Linked DNA regions of Kluyveromyces lactis. The protein of the gene in region 1 interacts with the protein of each later gene in a biochemical or structural test. Links are inferred from orthologs where the notes say so. Each region holds a gene or a part of one and is shown on either strand. Other genes may lie near its edges.

Region 1 (3,938 bases):
TAACATTGCTAACGGTTTAGCATAAAATCTACTGTTCACATAACCCAAACAACCATACATAGAATTTGCCGTAAGCTTCAAAGCTTGCTGCCTGATATCATATTGGGCTTTTTTACTTGCGTCATTTTCAGTCTTCATTAGATTTTTCACTTCTCTACGTCTTTGGACCAGGTTGGCCAATAATCTTGGCAGTACACCTCGTGATTTTTCTCTTGAAGGCACATCTGGAAGTTCTTCATTATCCTGTGGATTCCTGTCAACAGTAGTGAAGCAAATATTAAACTCTTGAATGATAGATGGGTACAACGAATTGAAATCCATGACCAAGATATAGTTTTTATGCAAACCTTTTTCTGGTTCAAAGACCAACCCACCCTGATATTTTGATTTTTTACTGGACACTTGTGGCTCCATAGGATCTTCATTCTTTTGTTGTCTGTCTTGCTTCATTTGCCTTGTTTCTTTATCAGGAACAATGTAATCATTTCTGTTAAATTCATGAAGCAAAATATATTCATTTCTACCAGCTCTTGTACCACCCAAAGTCTGTCTCCATCCATTGCCTGCTAAATTAGTCAGTTGTTTGGTTAAAGAGAGAATTTGAATGCGGAATGCAACTTCTGCTGTTATAATGGAGTTTTCGATGTTTTCGCCTAGCGCTAGAAGCATCTGGGATTCATCTTCCTGATATATTGGGTTTAGGTAATTAATTTCGAGAGATTTTCTTTCAATACCGCAGGAAACTTGATACATTTCGTTTAGTTCCCAATTTTGACATTTTGGAGTTAGTGACTGACCCATTTCATTGGAAATGTCACATAACAACCTACCTGCAAATAAATCCCTAACTATGAACTGTGTCATACTATTATTATGTTTTCCAAACTTGTCTGGCCATGCTTTCCGCAGTCTTCTCCCAAAGACACTAAATTGAGGAATATTTAACTCATAAGCTCTGTGTGCCAGAACATCCAAGATGACACCTTCCAATCTATGTCCTATTATAACATCAGGATCATTTACCTTCAAGAGAGCACAGAAACAGTTTAATAACGTCTTTTCGTTATTGAAGAGACGCACATTTCCGGATAATTCTTTCTTTGATTTAGGTCCCAGAAGAGGTGGAAAAGTTGATCCTTGTGGAGGCCTTACTAGTGTCACTATTTCATTTGGTTTGAGATTTTGTGGAATTGATGAATCTTGAGATAAATTTTTGAAGACAGCCATACTTATAGCAACAATTTCCTGCTTGTTTTCTTTTGCATTCATGACGGTCTGAATAGACAATGATATACAGTTCAAGCTCGGAGATGATTTTTCATTCGTTGCTGAGATATGATTAGGTGAATCAATTTGAACCTCAATAGCACAATGCGAAGCGCCTTGAACTGCATCAAAATCGCCATCTGATATCTTAAGCCAGCAAGGGCCCATGATTTTCCTTTGGACAACAAAACTCTCAAAAAGGTTTTGGTTACCACCGAAGACGTGACTGAATGTATCTCCCTCAAGTTCAGCGGGAATAGTAATTGACTTGCATTTAGGAGTATCATAAGGTAACAAAACCTTCAAATACTCCGCTTCGTGTGGTATTCCTGGAAGTTCAAAGGCATACTTTTTCGTTTCAGGCTTAGCGCGAAGTGATTGTAAGCCATATTTATCCAATAATAGAGGTACAATTTCTTGGTGGACATCAGACGCTGTTTTACCCTCCTTAGGTAGAAAATACAGCTCTCTATTGAAACCATTGATTTGCGCCATTGCAGAGACTACTTGATTCTTTCTCGTTTTAACTTTACCAAAGAGAATCAAAGAAGAGTTGACTTCGGTAAAATCAGTCCAAAAAAAGTTAAAACTACCGGTCTCAGCGTCTACTACATCCTCTTTAGGTATTCTTTGTCTCAGTGATCCGGAAATTGATTCTGTTGCTTGTGTGGACCCTGTAGAAGTTGACAATGGGGTGTTAGGAGCAGTGACATATGTTGGCGAAGACGTTAATGGTGCTGTTTGAGCGCTGATATTCATCTGCCTTTGAGTAGCTATTGATTTGAATTTTTTTCTACCAAAGTGAATATCATCTTCGTCATCTTCACTGTCATCTTCGCTTTGATATGTCTTCTGCTTGCTCATTGAAGGAGAACTAGCCACATCGTTTAATAATGATTCAATATCGTGGTCCTCTTCCATTGAATCACAATCGATAGGATTAACGCTATCAGCTTTAAAAGGTACAACATCTTTACCTTTAAGTGGGGATGTATCTACCTGAGGGTGTTTATAGTTCATAGGCGTAGTATTTGCAGGTTGTTTTCTGGATATCGTTAGCTTCGGCTTCTTAACCAGAGGCTCTGCGTCAAATTCACTCAAAATATCATCAAATTCAGCAAGTGACACTTTCTTAGGTTTTTCTGTTGGCATTGTCATTTTTCTCTTGACATTTTGTTGCTTTATGATATCGCTGATGGTATCCTTACCTTTGTTATTCTTACTGGTCTTATTACGCTTTTTGCCTGACTTTGCATCAACACCATCGTCTTCATCAGAGTAGAACTCCTGACTTTGATCCCATTCATCTACACCACGATCCACATATCCACTGCCATCATCATCTTCAACAAAATCATCTCTTAACAACTCTTGTCTTTTCTTACTCCTATATTGATCCTCGTCAATCAAGTCATACACATTTTCTTCTTCCAGTTGTTCATCTAGCACATCCCTATTCGATTTATTATTCCTAGCTTTCTGCAATTTTTTGAGCAGTTCAAGTTTGTTCGCATTACTCATCCCGAGCTAGTGTTTTAATAGTGTAGGGTGGCAGTACGAACTACCCTAGTAATTTAGTTTTGTTGTCTTTCCTGGTTTGAGTTGCAAGAAGAAGATGATGAAGATGTTCTTACTTTTACGCGTTCTTTTTTTTTTTAAAGTTGTATCTATCTGCAAAGCACGCGTTCGAAATCTATGAACTTAATGGCACCAACGCTGAGACAAAGCGAGAGTGCATGAGAAGAAAAGCGAGCGAAAGATTGAGTGACAGTAGAATACCGACAACACTTGAGTGGTTAAACGGTGAAGCCGCTGAAGTGTTAGAGAGTGTGCGCTCCTCAATATTATGATACGAATTTCCATTAGTTGAACCAATTGGCGTTGGCTTGGAAAGAAAAATGGATCACATGACCTGTGGTTTAAGACTGTCCTCAATTTTAAAGTGCTCAAATTGAGGTTTGTGATCATTAACTGAAGGGAAGGATAACTGTTAAGGAAACAGCTGATAGCAGGACCCGTAAAGATAATCGCGTTACATCTGATGTCCTTTTATCAAAATAGTACTCCAAAAAAGGAGGACAATCGTGCAGATTCTAGTGGAAACGATGCGGTGCCTTTGTTGATAACACTAGAACAGAATATTCAATTACTCAAGCGTAAAGCTCATCTAATAGGGACAAGCAAGGACGGACAACTATTGAGGGTTGATATAAAAAATAGAGTAATCCCCGAAATCCAGAAAATTAGTCGAAAACTGGCTGACTTAACTTCGCTAGATACACAAGATAAATTTGCTCGAGATTTTCAAGCGTTAAGCAAACAATATAACAGTGTAAAGACCGATTATGAGAATAGGGCAGTACAGAATCCCATACCTGACGAAGAGAGTAAAGATAATGAATCGGAACATCTCGTATCGCAATATGAAAGCATGCCAATACAAGACGATATCGAGAGGAGGGATCATTCTTCAGAGGATACTCCGTTACTTTTGTCTACCCAACAGCAAGAGCCTTTGTTGAATCAGGATGAGTTAGATTTTCACACGATAATTCAACATGAAAGATCCCAGGACATATCAAAAATCCACTCTGCTGTGCAAGAGGTCAATGCCATCTTCAAACAACTAGGAAGTCTGGTACAGGAACAGGGCGAACAAGTTGACACAATTG
Region 2 (2,859 bases), on another chromosome or scaffold:
CATTCTTGGTATCATAACCACCGATTAATACGTTAACTTGGAATGGTTTCCTCGATCTTAGGGATTTAGCCAATTCTGTTCTAACAAAACTCGATGCCGCATGAGGAGACAATTCATAATTTTCTCTAATCAAATACAATTGCATATTAGCCTGGATATATTCAGCAAACTGTACTGTATCACCAGCTTCACCAGAGAACGACATTAGTGTGTGAGGGAGTAATTGTCTGGTCTTGTCATCTGAATCTTTCAAAATTGAAATACCCCTAGTTACAGCCTTTGAAGAGGCCAATATCACCGAATCCTTGACTCTTATACCTAATAGAACATCCATTGGGAGATTTAGTATAAACTTTGACTCTTTTCACTGTCGATAGACCCTATATTTCCCTGTTTCCTCCCTGATAAAGGTTTGCCACCGTAAGTGTATGTTCTTTTTGTCAATTGTATTTTAGTTAAACATTTTCAAACATCATTTAAAGGTTTTCCACTGTATGAAAGGTGACAATACACAGAGAGAGAAACAGACAAAGCGTTTTATTCGCAGGAATGAAGCCCAAGCTAGGCGCCAATTGTGGGGTGATAGTAACTAAGAATACACTTGTTGAATGTTTTTTATTTTACTGTTTTGTTTCAGGTAGTATCGATAAATAGGTATTGTTCTTATTTGTAAATATACATATGTATATATGTGCTTGATCATGCAAGACAGCTGAATTAGGCATTCAGAAGTCAATAGACGACTTGATATCTTCTTCACGGTCTCTCTTTTGTGAGGATAATTCTTGTTTGACCAACTTGTTGACATACTTTCCGAACATGTCTAGGTACGGTTGTAGTGAAGTGCGTTGCACTTGATTATCGTTAGTATCCATTTCGTTCTGTAATTTTATAAGTTTTGGTGCCATTTCTGGTGAGAACTCTTCTGTAATCGGTACACAAACGTTACCAGTGGATGGATGTATACAGAATGGAGCCTTGAGTAAATGGATGGTTTGTTTTGTGACTTCCACATCTAATTTAGGGTATAGCGTTTGGATGATGATATCTTCTTTACTCTCGCGTAGTCTCTGCAAATAATCGTGTTGTCTCTGTTTAGGAAAGCTACTTATTAGCTGAGACGCTATCACATCCATGTCCTTCCATTTTTCCTCACTTGATCTTCCAGGTTTGTTGGTCCATAGTTTCTTTAGCTGCTCAGATAGCTGTTTGTCGTGACAACTGGTAGCCAAAGATTTTATCGCTAGTTCATCATCTCTCCAAGTGTCTTGTTCCCTTAGAATGATTTCAACGAAATGAGGTTTCAAAATCTCCAGAGATCTTGATAGATGTGGATGCAGCGGTCTAACCAAATTCAATCTCTTCTCAATATTTCTATCCCTAACCACGTTCATATAATCCAACATGTTCTTCCTATGAGAATCCGTCATGACCCTGGCTCTCTTGTCACTAATCCAACAATGGGCACCACGTCTACCAGAGAAAACCCAAATGAACTCATCAAAACCGAAATCATTTTCCAAAGATGAATTGATTACTTTCATAGCTAATTTAATAAAGTGCCAACACTTGGGACACACTTGTGCCCCAGAACAACATGTTCTATAACTATCATAATCATCCATATCGATATCGAAAACTAATTCTTTCTCCATCGGTTTCATCTCAGTCTTAAGTAAAGAGTCGCGCTCCCTTGGCGGTTTATTGTACACTGCACCGATCTCAAATCTATCTGGATTAGCCTTCTGGATCTGTACTTTGAACTCCTGTACGCTGTTGAACGAATTATATCTTTTGTATGCACCAGATCTGAACGCCATCGCGAATTCTCTATTGATGATATCACGGCCTGGTTTAGGTGAATGGTTCAGCCATTGAAATATCTGCTTAAAAGGATACAGATGTTGATAGTAGTATTGCATATCTGATGAACTAGGTCCATAATTTGAAGGAGGAGTGTCACCTCCATATGGGGTAGTCGATGACGATGGTACAGTGGAAGAGCCAGGCTCAACGGCGTCAACTAAGGATGGCATGTCAAAGTTAGCGGTTAATATGAGTTGAAATTGCACTAGCAGAGACCGTCACAAACCCTTGGCGTTTGTCCTGTTGATTGTCTCGACAGTGTCAGTTCGAGCACTCATCGAATTTGATCTGATTCTTGTTTCAAAACGCGTCAATTTGAATTTTGATAAAAACTGCGATTTAGATAATGTGACGCCAAGGAAGTCACATGACGCCAAATGACAAAGATATGCACTGGCCCGCACGAAGAGCTAGTGGGAATGATGAGTATCTGGAACAAACTTATTATGTGTCTATTTATATGTGTGTGTATATATGGTACGGGAGCAAAGCTTAATCCTTTTATGAGATAACACAGCTGTCCTCATTTGCTGTCACATTGATTAAAGAAATGTTCAAAAACTGATGGCCAGGTTCGTGAATCCACTGTAGTATCTGTCTCTCAGGATCGTAAGTGAAATGGCCAGAGGAGGATTTCATTATAATGTTGTCAAGTTTGAAATGATATGCCGGCAGAAATATCAAAGATCTGTTACTGGAAGACGCGTGACCATGAATTTCCAAATCGTAAGTGCTGTTGAAGGGATCAAATTTTGCTGAAATGAAGGATCCACTAATCTTAATTGGAGATGGTCTCAAAACAGAATCTAATGCCCTGAACCCACTATAGTCTATTAGTGCAATGCCGTTATTTGCCGTTTTGAAAGTATTGGCTGATTTAGTTGATCTTGTTGATCCTGAAAGTGAAGAGAAAATTTCTGATTCCTGTAAGGATACCGTTTCACTACCAAGATGCGGAACTTCTACAGTCACTTTTTCCCTTTTAGCATCATC

Evidence for each region.
Region 2: the proteins of POL1 (region 1) and PRI1 are reported together in a solved structure, tested with the Saccharomyces cerevisiae proteins (2 studies listed by BioGRID, with this or other methods). The link is inferred for Kluyveromyces lactis from reciprocal best matches to the Saccharomyces cerevisiae genes POL1 and PRI1.

The regions. Positions count from the first base shown.
Region 1 is NC_006039.1:1,129,178-1,133,115, reverse strand, and holds the start of POL1 (DNA-directed DNA polymerase alpha catalytic subunit POL1), read right to left. Parts: upstream 2,788-3,938; coding exon 1-2,787. Other genes in the region: SNAP receptor VAM3, read left to right, coding at 3,308-3,938. UniProt on the Saccharomyces cerevisiae protein: Catalytic component of DNA polymerase alpha, which in complex with DNA primase (DNA polymerase alpha:primase) constitutes a replicative polymerase. POL1 has a role in promoting telomere replication during interaction with CDC13.
Region 2 is NC_006038.1:1,024,519-1,027,377, forward strand, and holds PRI1 (DNA primase subunit PRI1), read right to left. Parts: upstream 2,037-2,859; coding exon 726-2,036; downstream 1-725. Other genes in the region: PRE1 (proteasome core particle subunit beta 4), read right to left, coding at 1-334; EGH1 (hydrolase), read right to left, coding at 2,368-2,859. UniProt on the Saccharomyces cerevisiae protein: DNA primase is the polymerase that synthesizes small RNA primers for the Okazaki fragments made during discontinuous DNA replication. In a complex with DNA polymerase alpha (DNA polymerase alpha:primase) constitutes a replicative polymerase.